Anolis sagrei: one gene and its partners. The protein of the gene in region 2 interacts with the protein of the main gene of each other region in a pairwise test. Links are inferred from orthologs where the notes say so. Each region holds a gene or a part of one and is shown on either strand. Other genes may lie near its edges.

Region 1 (7,116 bases), about 8.0 Mb from region 2:
ACTCTGGACATTCCACAGATATATAAACCCCATTTTCCTAGTTTCCAGCAGACCTCACAACCTCTGAGGATGCCTGCCATAGATGCAGGCAAAATGCCAGGAGATAATGCTTCTGGAACATGGCCATACAGCCCGGAAAATTCACAACAACCCACATGATTTATTTGCAGGAAATCCCACATCCGGTCTCTGATATTTTCCATAAAGATTTAATCTAAATCTTCCTCTGAGGTCCATTGTTCATATTCCCAACTTCCCTTATCTAGATGAATCAAGAATATAAGAAACTCCAATTTATGAATGAACTCTAATGCTGTGGGAGGTGAATCAATGGGTATAGTATACCCTCCACTGACATTCATGCACCCTAACCTGAGGCATGCTCAGCTCATAATGCGTGAAGCATCAAGGCTTGCAGTGTTCTCCACCCTCCATGCACCAGCATCGCTTGCAGCTCATTACCTTCCTCCAGCTCATCCATGCTCCCAATCTTCCTGTTGCCATCGATGGTGTAAATGTAGCGCACTCCCTGAGGCAGGTTAATGTTATCGGACAGGGACCGGGTCAGGTCGGCAAGCAAGGCGTCGAAGCTCCGGAAACGGTCTCCAGAGACGGCGTACACAATGCCCTTGAAGTAGCGGTCCCCATTGCGATAGAAGCGCACCTTCTTGGCTTTCTTCTCGTTGCTCAGGGCTTGTAAGGTCCGGGTGCGGTAGAAGCTGCAGTGGGCACTGTGAGTGGGGCTCGGCAGGCCGTTCATCCGGGAGCCTCGCATGTTTCTGGACGCCTTGTCTCTTTCGTCAAAGTGTCCAAAATCAAGTTCCATAGCTCGGTGAGCCCTGAAGTTGTGAAGCTGGGAGGTGGAGGAGGAAAGAGTGCAAAGGAAACAAAATATAGTCAGCTAGAAAGAGGAAAACACTGTTAACAGCAGATCTTCAAGCTAAACTTTGTGCTTTCCAATAAAACGAAGCCTTGCCCAATGTCTTACTTTGCTTGGATTGATGCCACAAAGGACTTCCCCCTCCTCTGTGTATTTTTGGGAGTAAGGCACAGGGAATGGGAGGGTCCTATCTCAACAACACAATTGACTGAATGATACACAACCTGGAACCAAAGGATTTCTATCTCTGGCTCAACCCTGGGTTTCTAATAATAGGAGAATGTGATGGAGAGGTTTGTGGGCGTCACTTCAGGATGCATGCCAGCTACAAACAGTTTGAACTGAATGAAGTTCCCCGCAGTTTTGATGCAAAACTTCCCTTCAGCGGTAGATGGATAGAACCAACAATGAAGAGAGGAATCCCACCTTCCAAAGACTTGAGAACCTGTGCTCGGGTATCAAACCTATCCAGATGCTGATGGAGAGACAGCCTGAGCCAAAGGGACCTTTCAAATGAGAATCAAACTGGAATGGCTGATGGCTGGACAGAGATACGGCAACAATGCTGTATCCTTTGTGAGTGTCTGAAAGCCAGAAGAGCAGTCACATCTCACTTACTCACATCTCCAGAGTCACCACTCCCTATGAAAACCCTTGAAATCCTAGAAATTCAGACAAAAAGTATGGGGCGGGGACCGTATTCAAGAGCAGTGGGTGAGTTGATATGAAATGATATTGACACCAGATGTCATTCAATTGGAGAATATGGTTACTTCTCCCTGCACCCTTCCTTTTCCTGTTAATGAAGTGTATTTTAATTGCTGAAGGTGTCTGACAGATGCAGTCTCATCACGCCACCGCAAGAGCACCTTTCATTGTTCACTGCTCTGAGCGCACGCTTAGTGGAATTGGGAAAGCGCCTTAGTTCAGTGTGCGAATAGTGTGGAAAAGGGGAGTGACAGGGATCATCTCAGGTATGAGCTGGAGATGCAAAGGATCCCAGCCCCTCCAAAGGGATCCCACGAAACCTATGAGCCCGATCACTCTTGGCTGTCCAAGGCTATTAGCATGCAACTCACATCTGCTCATCGCAGCTTCGCACAGCTGAAATGGGATTAAAAACCTCAAGGCTGGGTGATCAGGTACAAATCCTGAGAAAAGCTGTTGCTTGCCTTCTGCCAGAGTCTCTGCCTTCCTTTTCGAGGAGTCACGGTGACCTGTCCCTGACCTTCACTCCTGTCATGCAGGGAAGGGAGCTTCCCATTGCTTTTCCTTCACCAGAGTTGCCAAAAAAATCATCCCCACCCAAACCCAGCACTACTTCGCTGCTCTCTAAACATCACACTGGAAACAATGGGAGCTCAATGCAACTTTGAAAAGCCAGAGCTTTGGATGGGGCGTGGACCTCCTTCATCTCCAGCCTGACTCTCTCTTTCCTTCCCCTGCCTTTGGCATCCCATCTCTGCTGCTTTCTCTGCCTGGAAAGGCTTCCAAGGAATACTTACCGGTTTTCAGCTCTTGCAGGGTGGAGATGCTGAGAGAGAGAAAGCCAGCCACACTCTGCCTTTGTTGTCTGAGCTCCAAGCAAGAAATTCCTGCCAGATTTGCCGGGACTCCTCCTAGGTCCTAGTGCCTTGTGTGTGCAGACACACACTGACACACACACACACCCAGGGCCCCTTCTGCAAAGGGTGATCTGGCCTCAGCGAGCTTTGCCGTCAGGGTGGATTGCCATTGGAAGGCACTCTCACTCTAGATTTTCAAGAGGTGCAGCACCCCTTTGGATTGGGGCTCCTCAAATGGCCGCAGAGAGGTGACTGAGCTCCAGTTCGGGGGGCATTGTTCACTGTTTTATTCCCAAATTTTCCAAGAGCGTTACCATCATGATTCTCCAGTGCCAGCTAGAAAAAGCTGGTGCCACTGCATGGTCACTCAGTCTGTGAAGGTGTGGCAAGTGGAGAAAGTTCGATTCTTGACTCCGGCCCAAATCACAGCTTTCTTGCGGACAATGCAAATCAAAGAAGAGGGTGAGCAAGTTGTGATGTCGCCTGGTCCTCTCTGGTTTGTGCTCACACAACAAACCGGACTGTCATCCCCAACATACGGAGATGAGACAGTTTGCTGGCTTTCGCCAAGGACCCCAAGTTTATGGCTCTGCAGATGCATGACATCACCAGCCAACGCCAATCCCCAGCGAGAGCAACGGTCTGGGCTCCTTGCCAACAGCAGCACCAGTCTTCAGAGCAGCAGCGGCCGCCAGTTGTGTTCGGACTGCAGCACCCATCAGCCCTAGGCCACAGAGCCCTCGATGAGGGACAGCGGAGACTGAAGTCCAGTCACATCTGGAGGACAGAGCATTGGTTGTTGCTGATCACTTCACCACAATTCAAATAAATAAATTAAAATAAAATAAATAATAACAGTGAAGATGAAGTAAATGCATAGTGTGTGTATTATCATAACCTAGGCTGCATCGATAGGAGGATAGTTTCCAAATCAAGGAAAGGAATAATACCACTTTATTCTGATTAGGCCACCTTGAATATTGCATCCAGGTCTGGGCTCCATAATTCAAGAAGGAGATGGGCAAACTGGAGGCTGTCCAAAAAGGTCAAAGGTCTGGGAACCAGGAATTAGAGAATTGAGTATGTTTAGATTGGAGAAGAAATAGCAAAGAAGGGACATGATTTGTTGTTGTTCATTCGTTCAGTTGCTTCTGACTCTTCGTGACCTCATGAATCTCATGAACAAGGGACATGATAGCCTTGTGTTAAAAGGCTAACACGTGGGACCTTCTTGTGTTAAAACAGTCATAGGCCAACTTGGGTCCTCCAAGTGTTTTGGACTTCAACTCCCACCATTCCTAACAGCCTCAGGCCCTTTCCTTTCCCTTCCCCCCTCAGCCGCCTCAGCTTAAGCCGCTGAGGAGCGAAAGTATGGGGCTGAAGCTGTTAAGAATGGTGGGAGTTGAAGTCCAAAACACCTGGAGGGCCCAAGTTGGCCATTACCTGTTTTAACACAAGAAGGTCACATGGAAGATGTGTTCTCCATCGCTTCAGAGACTACGATACAGAGCAATAGCTTTAAATTGCAAAAAAAAAGAGATTCCATCCAAACAAAAGTGGGAAAAAATCATGCAGTCAGAGCTTTTGATAGTGAAATCCACTGATGATTTGGAGTCTGGTGGAGTCCACTTCTCTGGAGCCTAGATAGATTCTGCCAGGAGTGTTCGGATTCTGTATTCTTTAATGCATTGGTTCCCAACCTGTGCTCCACGGACCACCAGTGGTCCGCAAGAACTAAAATATGGTCCGTGGACGAATTTTAATGCGACTGGTCTCACAAAATCCTCTTATAGTGCTGAGGCTTATTAATATGGTTTTCTGTGAGTGAGCAGTGGTTTCCAATCTGTGGTCTGTGGACCACCAGTGGTCCATAAGAACTAAAATATGGTCCGTGGACAAATTTCAATGAATGCAACTGGTCTCGCAAAATCCTCTTATAATGCTGAGGCTTATTAAATATGGTTTGCTGTGAGCGAGCAGTGGTTTCCAATCTGTGGCCTGTGGACCACCAGTGGTCAGTAAGAACTAAAATATGGTCCATGGACGAATTTCAACAAATGCGACTGGTCTCGCACAATCCTCTTACAGTGCTGAGGCTTATTAAATACGGTTTTCTGTGAGTGAGCAGTGGTTTCTAATCTGTGGTGTGTAGACCACCAGTGGTCCCCAAGAACTAAAATAGGTTTGCAGACTCACCATTACTACACCATTGCAATGAATGCAGCTGGTCTCACAAAAACCCCTTATAGTGCTGAGACTAATTAAATATGGTTTTCTGTGGGTGAGCAGATGGCTATTAATACTGTTTTTTTACTGGTTTAATGAATGTTTTACATATTGTTTTAATTGTTATTATATTGATCTGCTGTTTTGCTGTTTTAATTTTAGAGTTTTTTAAAACAGGTAGCCAGATTTTCCAGAGGGAAAACAATCAGGGACATCTAATCACCTCTCAACAAAAGATTTCTCCAGGCACTTCCAGGCTATCAAATGCTAATCAAGGTGGTCAGTTGAAACATTCACACCTAGCTCCAGCAGACAAGAGTCCTTTGTCCCACCCTGGTCTTTCCACAGATATATAAACCCATTTTCCTAGTTCCAACAGACCTCACTGCCTCTGAGGATGCTTGCCATAGATGCAGGCGAAACATCAGGAGAGAATGCCTCTAGAACATGGCCATATAGCCTGAAAAAACCTACAACTACCCAGTGATTCCAGCCATGAAAGCCTTCGACAATACATTGATTCATAACCCTTTTGGTACTAATGTTGGAATGTGGTCCCTGGTCAAGTGGCCTCTTGTCAAAGTGGACCCTGGTTAAAAAAAATGGTTGGGGAACCACTGCTTTACTGGCAGAAGGGGGTTAGATTGGATGACCCTAGAAGTCTCTTCCAACTTTATGAGTCTACAATGCTATGATTATCGCTAACAGGCCTCCCTTCCCAGGAGACTCTGGCAAAAACAAACTGCTGCATCCCCTCTTAGCTTGGCTGTTCATCCCAGTGTTCAACCTGAATAAGCAAGTACATTCGTCCTAGGGTTGACCAGGATTGGGTGGATACAAAATCCCTAGCTGGACCAACTCCTGTCTGATGCTTTCTGGGATGCTACCAGCCACCCTTGGAGATGTGGCTCCCCTTGATTACATCCTTTTCTGCCGGCTGTGCGGGTGGACGATGGGGAGGTACAGGGAGCCAAGCAGCTTTTGTGAAGCCATCAACTTAATCATTTCCGACACGGTCAGCAACAGAGTCTCTGGCAGCGCATCCATTTTCCTCCCCATCAATAAATTCATTTAGATAAAGAGGTATGTTAAATATAGCTCCTTGGATTCAATTACCTGGCCTAAATGAAGGAAGCGCTCTATCCTCCGAGCAGTAGCAAAGAGACGCTCTTTTTCCCTGAGCAATTATATTTGAGTAAAGAGAGAGCCGTTTTCCCCCCTTTATTTAGGGGGTGGGGTCTGCACAGAGAGAGCTGGTAATTGTAAATGACCACTGGTTAAATTTCATGGGAGACAGAAACAATACATGGTAGTCTTAAAATGCATCTACGTGGCAGAGTTATTACAGGGTTGCTATGAGTTTTCTGTGCTGTATGACCATGTTCCAGAAGCATTTTCTCCTGACGTTTCACTCACATCCATGCCAGGCATCCTCAGAGATTGTGAGGTTTTTGAGGCATCCTCACAACCTCAGAGGATTCCTGCCATAGGTGTGGGTGAAACGTCAGGAGAAAATGCTTCTGGAACATGGTCATACAGCTCAAAAAACTCCCAGCAACCCAGTGATTCCGACCATGAAAGACTTCGAAAACACAGAGTTATTTCAGTTTGACATTACTTTAACCATTGTGGTTCAATGCTCTTTAGTGCTGGGCACTGCAGTTTTGCAGGATCTTTAGCCTTCTCTGCCAAAAAATGTTGCTATCTCACTAAACTACATCTCCCAGGATTTCAAAGCATTGAGCCATGGCAGGAGTAGTGGAGTCAAACTGCATTAGTGGTACAGTTTAGACTTAATGTGTTATCCTTACTATCCATCTATGTGAATGACCTAGGTTGTCTTACAGCAGTGGTTCTCAATCTTCCTAATGCCGTGACTCCTTAATACCTTTCCTCATGTTGTGGTGACCCCCAACCATAAAATTATTTTCTTTGCTACTTCATAACTGTAATTTTGCTACTGTTATGAATCGTAATGTAAATATCTGACATACAGGATAATAATAATAATAATAATAATAATAATAATAATAATAATCCTTTATTTATACCCCGACAGCATCTCCCACAGGACTCGGTGCGGCTTACAAGAGGCCGAGCCCAAAATACATAATAAAACATAACAACAACAATACAACAATAAATAACTCATAACAAAGCAAAACAATACAATAATGACACGATGCATTTAAAAACCTGTGGCAGGGCCAAATGTAAGGCTTAAAATTTAAAAATGCTGGGCATGTCCAAGGGAAATAGGATGGCTATTTTAGAGATAGGTTCTAAATCTCTCATAAAGTGCATTTGGGACATATTGCTTGGGAGTCCTTATTCTGGGAAGGATGTATTTTCATTCACTGGACCAAATTTGGCACAAACACCCAATGCACCCAAAATTTATTTGGATTGGGGAGGGAATTGATTTTGTCATTTGGGAGTTGTAGT
Region 2 (7,237 bases):
TGAAGGGCTGCCAGGACCAGCAGCTCAGTCAGTAGCTAGCAGGGAACAACAACAGTTGCATTCTGACACTGAGGAAGCTAACCCTGCAGTGCAGGACCAATAGCCTCATTACACTAGAGAAAAATCCACTTAAAATCCAATTTCTGCCTCCTGCAGAACTCTGGGGTTTGTAGTTTAGGGAGGAGCCTTTAACAGCCTCACTAAACTAAAAACCTCAGAATTCTGCAGGATTTTAAGTGGATTTTTTCTCTAGTGTGATGCAAGTGCCTCAGGCAAGCGGGAGTCCTGAGTTAACTCCGGGTCAGGAGAGCAATGAGGCAGAGTTAAGTATCCCAGAAAGACTGCAACTGAGGACTGATGCTATTCAGCTGCACAGATCCACTTGGTTGGCACAGAGAAGGGCCAACAGGTGAGAGGTATAAAGAGTGGTAGTTTGGATTTGGTCTTTGTTAGGAGCAATATTTGGAGTTCTGTCTGATGACATAGTGTGCCTGTTTTGGACCCTGACTTTGAAACTTTGGATTATGCATAGATTTGGATGTTTTGGTGAGGACATTTGACTATGACTTTTGAAATACCCCTGCATTGTTGCTTGGATCTGCATTGGCTTGGATCCTGGAGTGGCTGAATAGTGAGTGACTGTTTTATATTTCTTAAGGTTCGCTCTGCATCTCGTGGTGCCAGAGTGCAGTCTATTCAGCACCTTCCAGGTTGCCCAGTCTTCTGTGTGCCCAGGAAGAAGTCTCTCATTGGGTATCAGCCGTTGATTGAGGTTCCGGGTTTTCGCCTGCCATTTTTGGACTCTTGCTTGCTGAGGTGTTCCTGCATGTATCTCTGTAGATCTTAGATAACTATTTCTTGATTTAAAGTGTTGGCGTGCTGGCTGATATCCGAACAGAGGATGGGCTGGAGATGTCACTGCCTTGGTCCTTTCATTATTGGCTGTTATTTTCCGGTGGATGTCAACAGTGGTACAATACCGGCTAAACAGTATAATTTTTCCAGTGCTGTAGGGTGCAGACATCATGTGATAATGCGGCATGTCTCATTCAGAGCCACATCCACTGTTTTAACATGGTGATATGTGTTTCACGCTTGGTATGCGTACTCAGCAGCAGAGTAGCAAAGCGCAAGGGCAGATGTCTTCACTATATCTGGTTGTGATCCCCAGGTTGTGCCAGTCAGCTTCACCTCACAATTAAACATGAAATAACACTTTCAAACCGGGAACAGAAAAATTTGCAAATTTTGTTACATAGTGTTATCTTATAGCAGCAACATGTACCAATGTTCAGCATCAAGCGAGGTGTTGTAGAGTCCTAAAACACTTAATTCCAGAACAGAATAAATCTTAACGGCACATGCTACGTCCAGCAATGTGCACCATGAAATTAGAAAGTCTGACTTCAAAAGAAGTACTCACAATACTTATGTTTTTGTCTTTTCACCATCACATTATAATGTCTCCTTTGATGTTGGCGGCATCTGCGTCCCCTCCCCCTGTAATGGTAGCACATTTCCCAGGCGAAGGGAAATGCGGAAAACCGTGACAGGCGTGGGGCACCCAATTTTCCACGATACGTGATTGTTTTGGCGTTCTGCTAATTTCTGTCACCACGGCTATGCTTTTTACTCACATTGTTTTACAGAGAAAAGAAAGTAGTTGCAAGGAAATCCAGACAAAAAATATCTGTCTTTAAGACCTAAAAGACATTATGAATTTTTCAAGCTATCCAGATTTTTGAAAATTATTATTAAAGTGCAGCCCAATGACTCTGCTTATTGTTAAAGATTGGAGTAAGGCACTTGAATTAACTTTTTAAAATAATTACAATGCAATAAAACATGTCTTTACTGGCTCATAAATTTGCCATCGGAGTGTTCTGTGGCTCAGCATTGCTTCTATATGGGCACTCATCCATTCCATAGGAAAGTGTGCAGAAACAAGCTTAATGGTGTAACATTAGAAAACGTTGACCATTTCCGCTCCCTTGGCAGCCACCTCTCCACCAAAGTCAACATCGACACACAAATACAACACCGCCTGAGCTCTGCGAGTGCAGCATTTTTCTGAATGAACAGAGAGTGTTTGAGGACTGGGACATCTGTAGGGAGACCAAGGTGCTTGTCTATAAAGCTATTGTCCTCCCAACCCTGCTCTATGCCTGTGAAACGTAGACTGTCTACAGATGTCACATGCAACTCCTAGAACGATTCCATCAGCGCTGCCTCCGGAAAATCCTGCAAATCTCTTGGGAAGACAGGCGGACAAACATCAGTGTGCTGGAAGAAGCAAAGACCACCAGCACTGAAGCGATGGTCCTCCGCCATCAACTCCGCTGGACCGGCCACGTTGTCCGGATTCCTGACCACTGTCTCCCAAACCAGTTGTTCAAAATAAATAAATAAATATAGTTCACCTACAATCAAAGAGCATTTTGAACCCCAGCAATGATAGAATTGCCACACTTCCCACACAAAACCTCCCATGACCAACAGAAAATACTGGAAGGGTTTGGTGGACATTGACCTTGGGTTTTGGAGTTGTAGTTCACCTACATCCAGAGAGCTCTGCCTACTCACACAATGATTGATCTGGACCAAACTTGGCACGAATACTCAATATGCCTAAATGTGAACACTGGTGGAGTTTGGGGAAAATAGACCTTGAGATTTGAGAGTTGTAGTTCATCTATATCCAGAGAGCACTGTCTACTCACACAATGATTGATCTGGACCAAACTTGGCACAAATACTCAATATGCCTAAATGTGAACGCTGTTGGAGTTTGGGGGAAATAGACCTTGACATTTGGGAGTTGCAGTTGCTGGGCTTTATAGTTCACCTACAATCAAAGAGCATTCTGAACCTCACCAATGATAGAACTGGGCCAAACTTCCCACACAGAACCTCCATGATGAACATAAAATACTGTGTTTTCTGATGGTCTTTGGGGACCCCTCTGATACCCCCTCACGACCCCCTGGTTGAGAAACACTGCCATAGATGCAGGCGAAACGTCAGGAGGGAATGCTTCTAGTGCAGTGGTTCTCAACCTTCCTAATGCCATGACCCCTTAATACAGTTCCTCATGTTGTGGTGACCCCCAACCATAACCCTAACATTATGAATCGCCATGTAAATAATGATCTGCAGGATGTATTTTCATTCACTGGAGCAAATTTGGCACAAATACCTGGTATGCCCAAATTTGAATACTGGTGGGGTTGGCGGGGGGATTGATTTTGCCATTTGGGAGTTGTAGTTGCTGGGATTTATAGCTAACCTGTAAACAAAGAGCATTCTGAACCCCACTAACAATGGAATTGAACCAAAGTTGGCACACAGAACTCCCATGACCAACAGAAAATACTAGAAGGGTTTGGAGGACATTGACCTTGGGTTTTGGAGTTGTAGTTCACCTACATCCAGAGAGCTCTGCCTACTCACACAATGATTGATCTGGACCAAACTTGGCACGAATACTCAATATGCCTAAATGTGAACACTGGTGGAGTTTGGGGGAAATAGACCTTGACATTTGGGAGTTGCAGTTGCAGGGATTTATAGTTCACTTACCATCAAAGAGCATTCTGAACCTTACCAATGATAGAATTGGGCTAAACTTCCCACACAGAACCTCCATGATGAACAGAAAATACTGTGTTTTCTGATGGTCTTTGGAGATCCCTCTGAAACCCCCTCACGACCCCCAGGTTGAGAAACACTGCCATAGTTGCAGGTGAAACGTCAGGAGGGAATGCTTCTAGTGGTACTCAACCTGGGGTCCCCAGATGTTTTTGGCCTTCAACTCCCAGAAATCCTAACAGCTAGTAAACTGGCAGGGATTTCTGGGAGTTGTAGGAGAAAAACATCTGGGGACCCCAGGTTGAGAACCACTGTTCTAGTGGTTCTCAACCTGGGGTCCCCAGATGTTTTTGGCCTACAGCTCTCAGAAATCTCTGCTAGTTTGCCAGCTGTTAGGATTTCTGGGAGTTGAAGGCCAAAAACATCTTGAGAACCACGGTGGCATCCTCAAACAACCCAGTTTGAGGATGCCTACAGTAGATAGACTCTTGCAGAGGTGAGGATCCCTCAACAAGAGAGAAACATGTTGGGAGGGGGCTAGGTTTGGGGTGGGCGGGGCTGGCAGGTTTTGGGAGCCACACCCCTCGGAGGGGGGGGGGAGAAAGCCACGCCCCTCTGGGCTCCAGAAGAGAAAGAGACAATATATCGATTAGACCCTCCCCGGCTATTATTCCTAGGCAGGTAGAGGTGTCAGAGACTCCTCTCTGGCTCTGGGAGGCATTGTGAGTCCGTCGGAGAGGAAGAGGAGGAGGAGAGGAAGAGGAGGGCGAGCTGATTTGGGCGGGAGGCGGTCCGCAGGGCTGGCTCGGGCTTCTTCCTTCTCTCCTCCCTCCTTCCTCCCCAATCCCAGCCCTCCTCTCCTCTCCTCTCTTCTTTCCTTCCCTCCTCCCTCCCTTCCTTTCGGAGGCGCTCCTCCTCCTCCACTTCTTCTTCTTCCTCCTCTTCCTCCTCCTCCTCTCCGCGCCTCCAGCAAGATGACAGCCGGGCGGCAGGAGCGGTGGCGTCGGCGCGGAGGGTCTTCGCTCCGGCTGGTAGGTCTGCCTCCCTCCTTCCCTCCTTCCCTCCCCAAAGACCGGGACAAAGAGCCAGAGCCGCCCTTCCTTTCCCTTCCCTCCGCGAAGAGAGTCACCCTTGATTGACTCTCTCTACGGAGGAAAGGGAAGGCTGGCTCGAGCTCCCACCTTCTTGGCCGGGTGGGAGCTTCTTCCTTCTCCTCCTCCTCCTCCGGGAAGGGGCGGGGGTCTCTTCTTCTTCTTCCTCCTCCGACGGGTGGGGCCAAGGGGGCATCATCATCCTCATCATCATCCCCTTGGCAAGAAGTGTGTGTCCCCCCCCCCTCCCTCTTCTCTCTGACTCTCTCACTTCCCAATGCTCAGGAATGTCCAGTTGGAAGCCTGGCTTCCCATCCCATTGGGTTGGACGCCCCCAGACCCCAAGGGGAGGCAGCCTCCTTGGCAAGGGGACAACAAACCCCATCCCTTCTTTAGGGGTATGGTTATCATATGATTGATCTTCCTCCAAGTGGATTAACACAGTGTTTCTCAGTCTTCCTAATGCTGCGACTCCTTAAGACAGTTCCTCATGTTGTGGTGAACCCCAACCCTAATATTTTTGTTGCTACTTCACAACTGATTGAAGCTCTGGACATCCAAAGAGAGGCTTTACCAGATCAAGCTTATCATGAGCAATGGACCCACTCCCATCTATACAAATAATAATATAATCCAGGTCCTCATGTTGTGGTGACCCCCAACCCTAATATTATTTTTGGTGGTACTTCACAACTGATTGAAGCTCTGGACATCCAAAGAGAGGCTTTACCAGACCGAGCTGGAGATGTAGGGGACTTATCATGAGCAACGGACCCACTCCCATCTATACGAATAATAATATAATCCAGTTCCTCATGTTGTGGTGACCCCCAAGCATAATATTATTTTTTGTGGCTGCTTCACAACTGATTGAAGCTCTGGAGATCCAAAGAGAGGCTTTACCAGACCAAGCTTATCATGAGCAATGGACCCACTCCCACCTATACAAATAATAATATAATCCAGTTCCTCATGTTGTGGTGACCCCCCAACCATAATATTATTTTTGTTGCTACTTCACAACTGATTGAAGCTCTGGACATCCAAAGAGAGGCTTTACCAGATCATAGAATCAAAGAGTTGGAAGAGACCTCGTGGGCCATCCAGTCCAACCCCATTCCGCCAAGAAGCAGGAATATTGCATTCAAATCACCCCTGATGGATGGCCATCCAGCCTCTCTTTAAAAGCTTCCAAAGAAGGAGCCTCCACCACACTCAGGGGCAGAGAGTTCCACTGCTGAACAGCTCTCACAGTCAGGAAGTTCTTCCTCATGTTCAGATGGAATCTCCTCTCTTGTAGTTTGAAGCCATTGTTCCACGTCCTACTCTCCAAGGAAGCAGAAAACAAGCTTGCTCCCTCATCCCTGTGGCTTCCTCTCACATATTTATACATGGCTATCATATCTCCTCTCAGCCTTCTCTTCTTCAGGCTAAACATGCCAAGCTCCTTAAGCCGCTCCTCATAGGGCTTGTTCTCCAGACCCTTGATCATTTTAGTCGCCCTCCTCTCGACACATTCCAGCTTGTCAATATCTCTCTTGAATTGTCATGCCCAGAATTGGACACAATATTCCAGGTGTGGTCTAACCAGAGCAGAATAGAGGGGTAGCATTACTTCCCTAGATCTAGACACTAGGCTCCTATTAATGCAGGCCAAAAGCTTATCATGAGCAACGGACCCACTCCCATCTATACAAATAATAATATAATCCAGTTCCTCATGTTGTGATGACCCCCAACCATAACATTATTTTAGTTGCTACTTCACAACTGTAATTTTTCTCCTGTTGTGAATAGTTATGTAAATATCTGATATGCAGGATGTATTTTCATTCACTGGACCAAATTTGGGACATGTACCCGATATGCCCAAATTTGAATACTGGTAGGGTTGGAAGAGGGGTTATTTTGTCATTTGGGAGTTGTAGTTGCTGGGACTTATAGTTCACCTACAGTCAAAGAGCATTCTGAACTCCCCCAACAATGGAATTGAACCAGACTCGCATGACCAACAGAAAACACTGGAAGGGTTTGGTGGGCATTAACCTTGAGTTTTGGAGTTGTAGTTCACCTACATCCAGAGAGCACTGTGGACTCGAACACTGATGGATCTGGACCAAACTTGGCATGGATACTCAATATGCTCAAATGTGGATACTGGTGGAGTTTGGGGGAAATAGACCTTGACATTTGGGAGATGTGGTTGCTGGGATTTATAGTTCATCTACAATCAGAGAGCACTCTGAACCCCACCAACAATAGAATTAGGCCAAACTTCCCACACAGAACCCCCATGACCAACAGAAAATTCTGTCTTTTCTGATGGTCTTTGGTGACCCTCCCCCCGACACCCCATTGTGACCTTCCCAGGGGTCCTGACCCCCAGGTTGAGAAATGCTGGACATCAAAGCATTACCATAGCCGAGGCATGGGGAAACAGAATGGGGTTGGACTGGATGACTCATGAGGTCTCTTCCAACTCTGAGGTTCCAGAGTTGAGGGTCATTTGCCATTGAGAAGGAAGATCTGCTCTCTCTCTCTCGTTCCCACCAACTGAG
Region 3 (7,574 bases), on a different chromosome or scaffold from region 2:
ATTATTATTATTATTATTCGGCAGGGCTTGGATAAGTGGTTCTCAACCTGTGGGTCCCCAGATGTTTTGACTTTCAACTCCCAGAAATTCCGACAGCTGGCAAACTGGCCGGGATTTCTGGGAGTTGTAGGCCAAAACACCTGGGGACCCACAGGTTGAGAACCACTGGATTAGATGAAGCAGTAGTAGACACCTCAGTTAAACTACTAAGCTGCTGACCCTGCTGACTAAAAGGTTTGTGGTTCGAATCCGGGGAGCGGGCTGAGCTCCCGCTGTTAGCCCCAGCTTCTGCCAACCTAGCAGTTTGAAAACATGCAAAAGTGAGTAGATCAATAGGTACCGCTTCTGCGGGAAGGTAATGGTGCTGGATGCAATCATGCTGGCCACATTACCTTGGAGGTGTCTATAGACAATGCCGGCTCTTCAGCTTAGAAATGGAAATGAGCACTACTCCCCAGAGTCGGATTCGACTAGTGTCAAGGGGAAACCTTTACCTTTACTAAACCAACTCGGTCGCTTTCACTATGTCACCAATTTGGGGAGATGGTGGTGGGGTATAAATAAAGTTTATTATTATTATTATTATTATTAAATGGGTAGAAAGGTGGGTAATGACAGTGCGACTAATCAAAATTGGGTGGAGGTAGTGCTTGTAGTTCTGGAGGGACTCTAATTTTTGCTTCTCATATATTTGGGATTGGGTTGACCTGCAACATTTTGGGGTTGGTTTGAACCCCTAAACCGCCCCTTTGGCTACGGCAGGGTTTCTCAACCTGGGGGTTGGGACCCCTCGGGGGGGGGTCGTGAGGGTGTGTCAGAGGGGTCATCAAAGATGTAATCTATGTAATTTCTTTATGCTTGTGGGTAAACAGTATTTCTTGTTGTCTCTTTGTCAGTGTTGATGTGGAAAGTGTCCGGTTTGCCTACTCTGGAAAATGCAATATATTATTGTCCTTCTTTAGGGGTCCCTTTAAAATCTATGATATTACATCTGTGTGTGTGTGTGAATCATATCTATCTATATATATCTATGGCTGGATGGCTCTTTGTCAGGAGGGCTTTGATTAGATTTTCTTGCCCTGGTGAAGAGAGTTGGACTAGATGGCCTCAAGTATTTTCTGTTGGTGATGGGGTTCAGCGTGGAAAATGTGTCCCAATTCTGTTGTTTGTGGGGTTCAGAATGCTCTTTGTTTGTAGGTGAACTATAAATCCCAGTAACTACAACTACCAAATGCCAAGGTCTATTCCCCCCAAACTCCACCTGTGTTCATATTTGGGCATATGGAGTATTTGTGTCAAGTTTGGTCCAGATTCATCATTGTTTGAGTCCACAGTGGTCTCTGGATGTAGGTGAACTACAACTCCAAAACTCAAGGTCAATGCCCACCAAACCCTTCCAGTGTGTTCTGTTGGTCATGGAAGTCCTGTATGCCATGTTTGGATGAATTCCATCATTGGTGGAATTCAGAATGCTCTTTGATTGTAGGTGAACTATAAATCCCAGTAACTACAACTACCAAATGTCAAGGTCTATCCCCCCCCCCCCCAAACTCCACCTGTGTACATATTTGAGCATATGGCATATTTGTGCCAAGTTTGGTCCGGATCCATCATTGTTTGAGTCCACAGTGGTCTCTGGATGTAGGTGAACTACAACTCCTACAAGGTCAATGACTGCCAAACCCTTCTAGTCTTTTCTGTTGGTCATGGGAGTCCTGTGTGTCACCTTTGGTTCAATTCCATCATTGGTGGAGTTCAGAATGCTCTGTGATTGTAGGTGAACTATAATTCCCAGCAACTACAACTACCAAATGTCAAGGTCTATTTCCCTTAAACTCCATCTGTGTTCATATTTGGTCATATGGAATATTAGTGTCAAGTTTGGTCCATCATTGTTTGAGTCCACAGTGCTCTCTGGATGTAGGTGAACTACAACTCCCAAACTCAAGGTCAATGCCCACCAAACCCTTCCAGTGTGTTCTGTTGGTCATGGAAGTCCTGTATGCCATGTTTGGATGAATTCCATCATTGGTGGAATTCAGAATGCTCTTTGATTGTAGGTGAACTATAAATCTCAGCAACTACAACTCCCAAATGACAAAATCATAATTTTTTGAGTGATGGTCACTCCTTGTGTTGTGAGATGTTTTGTAGCCAAATTTGGTGTGATTTTGTTCATTGGCTCTTTTGTTTTTAAGGTACTCATTATGCACAGAGCATTTATATATATATATATGGCACAAATCTATATATATATATATATATATATATATATATATATATATTTCTGTTGGTCATGGAAGTCCTGTATGCCATGTCTAGAAGGGTTTGGTGGGCATTGACCTTGAGTTTGGGAGTTGCAGTTCACTTACATCCAGAGACCACTGTGGACACAAACAATGATGGAGTTGACAAATCTATATAGGTTTGTGCCAAGTTTGGTCCAACTCCATCATTGTTTGAGTCCACAGTGTCTCTGGATGTAAGTGAACTGCAACTCCCAAACTCAAGGTCAATGCCCACCAAACCCTTCTAGTCTTTTCTGTTGGTCATGGGAGCCCTGTGTACTAAGTTTGGCCCAATTCCATCATTGGTGGGGTTCAGAATGCTCTTTGATTGTAGGTGAACTATAAATCCCAGCAACTACAACTCCCAAATGACAAAATCAATTTTTTCGAGTGAAGGCCATACATTGGGTTGTTAGGTGTCTTGTGTCCAAATTTGGTGTCAATTCGTCCAGTGGTTCTTGAGTTCTGTTAATCCCACAAACAAGCATTACATTTTTATTTATATAGATTGGGTTGACTTGCAACTTTTCGGGGTTGGTTTGCACCCCTCACCCGCCCCTTGGCTACAGGCTTGCACCAGAGTGCATAGCGAGGAGGGAGGCCCAGTGGCTCGCGCGCCCGCCTCCCACTCACCTTCCTCTTCCTCCCACGGCCTCCACGCGGGACTCGGCCGGCTGCTTTCCAGCGCCGGGCCCTCCTCTTCCGGGACCGGCCTTCGAGGAAGGAAGGAAAGGCAGGGAAGGAAGGAGGGAGGGCCTAAGAAGAGCGCCGGGGCCTGGAGGCGGCCTCCGCGTGTGTTGACAACATGGCCGCAGCCCGGCGGGCTCAGGCGCTGCGCCTCTACCGGGCCCTCCTGCGGGAGAGCCAGGCCTTCGCCGCCTACGGGTACAGGTAGGACGAGGAGGAGGAGGAGAGGCCTCGGCCCCGTCCCCACGCCCAGAAAGGCCTCCCTGTCCACAGGGTTTCCTTCATCCCTTATAGGCACCAGTGAATGTAGAAAGTATGCTTCCTAGCCTCATGTTATCCTCAGAAATCCACTGATCGGGGTGGGAAAACTTCAAGAGCTAATACAGTTATTATTATTATTTTTATTATTGTTATGAGCTAAGGACCCTTCACCTGGAAGTGTCTTCTTCATGGTGGTGTCCTTGTAATTATTATTAACTAATACCACCATGATCAATAATAACAACAATATAATTAATAATAATACTACCATGATCAATAATAACAACACAATAATACGACCATGATCAATAATAATAACAACATTAAAATCGTGTTACATAGTTCATGCTATCATTATTCATACCACTATGTTAAGTAGTAATAATAGCACAATAATTAATAACACCGCCATGCTTAATAGCAGTAATACCATAATTAATAATAACACCATGATTATTAACAGTAACACCATAATTAATAATAATACCTCTATATTATTAAAATTGTGTCATATAGTATATGGTATTATTATTATTATTCATACCACTATGATAAGTAGTGGCACAGTGGGTTAAAGCGCTGAGCTGCTGAGCTTGTTGACCGAAAGGTCTCAGAATGGCGTGAGCTTCCTTGGTCAGCCCTAGCTTCTGCCAATCTAGCAGTTCAAAAACATGCAAATGTGAGTAGATCAATAGGTACCGCAAGGAGCCCCCGGTGGTGCAGTGGGTTAAACCCCTGTGCCGACAGGACTGAAGACCGACAGGTCGCAGGTTTGAATCCGGGGATAGGCGGATGAGCTCCCTCTATCAGCTCCAGCTTCTCATGCAGGGACATGAGAGAAGCCTCCCACAAGGATGATAAAAACATCAAATCATCCGGGCGTCCCCTGGGCAATGTCCTTGCAAACAGCCAATTCTCTCACACCAGAAGCGACTTGCAGTTTCTCAAGTCGCTCCTGACACAACAAAAAAAAAAGATACCGCTCCGGCAGGGAGGTAATGGTACTCCATGCAGTCATGCCAGCCACATGACCATGACAATGCCGGCTCTTCGGCTTAGAAATGGAGATGAGCACCACACCCCATCTTTAATAATAATACCACCATAATATTAAAATTGTGCCACATAGTGTATGGTATTATTATTATTATTATTATTTATGATAACAATAATAACATTAATAATAATACCACTGTAATATTAAAATCGTGTTACATAATGTATGGTATTATTCATGCCACCATGATCAATAATAACAATAATAAGAATAGCACCATAACTAATAATAACACCACCATGATATGAAAATCATCTTACATAGTGTATGGTATTATTATTATTATTATTATTATTCATACCACCATGATCAATAATAACACAATAACTAATAATACTGCTGCCATCATTAATAATAACACCACCAGAATTAATATTAATATTAAATTGTGTTACATAGTGTATGATATTATTATTCATACCACTGTGATCACTAGTAATAATAACACCAGAATGTATAATACCACAATGATTAATAGCAGTAATACCATAATTAATAATAGTAACACCATAATGAATAATAACACCATGGTTAATAACAAGAATAACACCATAATTAATAATTATATCACCAAGATTAATAATAATAACACCATACACTATGTAACACAATATTATTGTTTATGGTGTTATTATTATGGTGTTATTGTTATTATCATGGTGGTATTATTATACACTATTACATAGTATATGGCATTATGAATCACAATATTTATTTATTGGAGTCAATTTTTACCCCGCTTTTCTCCCACACCAAGGCAAGACTCAAAGCAGCTAACAATACAATAAGAACATACAAAGTAAAGATTAAAACAGATTCAAACCAATAAATTCCTTATAGCAACCTGATTGAGTCTCAACCAATTCAGCAGTTTGTGGCAGCTACAAAAATGATGTTTCTGAAATATAACAACTTTCAAAGTAAATATTGCAAAATTTAACAGGAAATTGTACTTTCAAACCAGGAACAGAATCTTTTTCAAATTGTATGACATAGTGATAATACCACCATGATGAATATGACACCACCATAATTTATCATAATAATATGAATACAATGATAATAATGCTATAATAATACCACAATGATAGATGATAATAAAATACTATTATTAATATTAGCAATGTCAGGCTCTGCATCTCGTAGTGCCAGAACGCTGTCTGTTCAGTGCCTTCCAAGTTGCCCAGTCTTCTCTGTGCCCAGGAGGGAGTCTCTCATTTGGTATCAGCCGTAGATTGAGGTTCCAGGTTTTAGCCTGCCATTTTTGGATTATCATTTGTGGAGGCATTCCTGCAAGTATCTTTGTAGATCTTAGAAAACTATTTCTTGATTTAAGGCGTTGATGTGCTGGCTGATATCCGAACAGAGAATGGGCCAGAGATGTCTCTGCCTTGGCCCTTTCATTATTGGCTGCTACTTCCTGGTGGATGTCAGGTGGTGCAAAACCAGCTAACAGTATACTTCTTCCAGTGATGTGGGGCATGACATTATTACATTATTACATTATCCTGTGATAATGTGTATGTGTCATTAAGGGCCAAATCCATTATTTTAACTGTGAAATGTGTTCTACACTGGACATGCATATTCAGCAACAGAATAGCAAAGCTCAAGGGCAGATGTCTTCACTGTGTCTGGTTGTGATCCCCAAGTTGTGTCAGTCAGCTTTCGTATGATATTATTTCTACCACCCACTTTTTGCTTGATATTCAAGTAGTGCTTCTTATAAGTCAGAGCACGGTCCAGGATAACTTCCAGGTATTTTGATGTTGCGTCCTTGGGAGTGTTTCCTTCATAATGGTAATAGTATTAATAGTTTTTAAAAAGTTCTGGTAAAACAAAACTGCAGAGGGATGCAACTAGTTTGGCGACAAATAAATAGGGATGTTATTGATGCAATTGCTGCTTGACCAAATTTGGAGAAGCAAAAGGGTTTTTTTTCTTTTCTTTTTTTGTTATTCTTTTTGAAGGCAAAGGCAGCAACAATTTTGTTTTCTTTTGTCTTTACATTTCTGGAATTGCTCTTCAAAGGGGGAGGGGAAACCAGGCATGACCCCTTTCAAACAACCTATGCTATTCAATCCTAAAGAGTCTAAATGGTTTCAGAAACTTGCACTGTGAAATGCAGGACAGAAAAGACTGGAGGTGCATGTCTGGGATAAAAATAACATAATAATGTATTGCCAGTGTGATTTGACTGTTGGGCCCCAACTCTGGAAGCCAGGGAATCCCTATTTGGCCATAAGAAATACACTGGAAGCCTTGGGCAAGTCATACTCTCTCAGCCTCAGAGGGAGGCAAAGGCAAACCTCATCTGAACAAATCTCACTATGAGATCAGGATTATTTTATTAATACTATGCATTTTAAACTCACATCTTGTGTTCACTATATATTAATCTTTTTTTCTGTATATTTCAGTACATGTATTGCAGAAATACATTTTAATATGTGGGTATTATATAATAATTATGGCGATTATGTGTTTTGAGCTATGTTGTAACCTGCCATCATCAATAATAATAATAATAATAATAATATTTCCAGAATCTTAGGGATACTATACATTGGAAACAACTTGAAGTCTCACAACAGCAACTGACTCTTAATACACTTGAGTCCTGGCTGGAAAGGTTGTCACTATCATTAGCAGGTAGCAGATGTTCACTCAAAACAGCAAAAAAAATATGCACTCGGACCTATAGCCTTTAAACTTGCTTGCTGGTTTACAGGACAGACCCTCATTGCTCTTATTGGATTCACATTCATTAGACTTTTGTGTGGAAAACAGAATCGGGTGCATTTTATTTTTTGCATCAGGCCATAAAATATCTCAAGCCAGCCTTGAGTTCTGGAGTATTTCCAGAATGATGACACTCCCAAGAATAAGGCAAGACGTGAGTAACCTTTCTTGTCAACCTGAATGTCAAAGATGATGACATCTGAATCGCCTGTAAAATTCCATTAACAAACAAAGCCACTGCATAGTTAAAACCTCATCTGGCAGCATCCCTGCCTATGTCGTAGTGTAACAAGGTGCTGATTTGTTGTTGCTGTGTTATTTCAAGTCATTTCCAACTTATGGTGACCCCATTGTGGGGTTTTCTTGGTACAATTTGCTTAAAGGGGATTTGCCTTTGGGCGAATCAGACTCGCTCAGTGGCTGAATGAGTCCGATTTACCCAAGGTCACCAAGTGGGATTCTGTGGCTGAGCAGGTACTCGAACCCAGCATCTTAGTCCAACACCCAGACTACTACATGAAATTGATCCATTGGGTATT

Evidence for each region. The genes of interacting proteins can lie anywhere in the genome.
Region 1: the proteins of MID2 (region 2) and DCX interact in binary tests that used the Homo sapiens proteins (3 or more experiments, as listed by UniProt). The two-hybrid records come from large-scale screens. The link is inferred for Anolis sagrei from reciprocal best matches to the Homo sapiens genes MID2 and DCX.
Region 3: the proteins of MID2 (region 2) and FARS2 interact in binary tests that used the Homo sapiens proteins (3 or more experiments, as listed by UniProt). The two-hybrid records come from large-scale screens. The link is inferred for Anolis sagrei from reciprocal best matches to the Homo sapiens genes MID2 and FARS2.

What each region holds. Positions count from the first base shown.
Region 1 is NC_090030.1:18,943,261-18,950,376, forward strand, and holds the start of DCX (neuronal migration protein doublecortin), read right to left. Parts: upstream 3,013-7,116; 5' UTR 2,386-3,012; intron 1,985-2,385; exon of another isoform or gene 1,960-1,984; intron 1,400-1,959; exon of another isoform or gene 1,307-1,399; intron 1,121-1,306; exon of another isoform or gene 989-1,120; intron 854-988; 5' UTR 827-853; coding exon 463-826; intron 1-462. UniProt on the Homo sapiens protein: Microtubule-associated protein required for initial steps of neuronal dispersion and cortex lamination during cerebral cortex development. May act by competing with the putative neuronal protein kinase DCLK1 in binding to a target protein.
Region 2 is NC_090030.1:10,913,916-10,921,152, forward strand, and holds the start of MID2 (probable E3 ubiquitin-protein ligase MID2), read left to right. Parts: upstream 1-4,228; 5' UTR 4,229-4,619; intron 4,620-7,237. UniProt on the Homo sapiens protein: E3 ubiquitin ligase that plays a role in microtubule stabilization. Mediates the 'Lys-48'-linked polyubiquitination of LRRK2 to drive its localization to microtubules and its proteasomal degradation in neurons.
Region 3 is NC_090024.1:86,269,673-86,277,246, forward strand, and holds the start of FARS2 (phenylalanine--tRNA ligase, mitochondrial), read right to left. Parts: upstream 3,013-7,574; 5' UTR 2,922-3,012; intron 1-2,921. Other genes in the region: LYRM4 (LYR motif-containing protein 4), read left to right, coding at 3,094-3,179. UniProt on the Homo sapiens protein: Is responsible for the charging of tRNA(Phe) with phenylalanine in mitochondrial translation.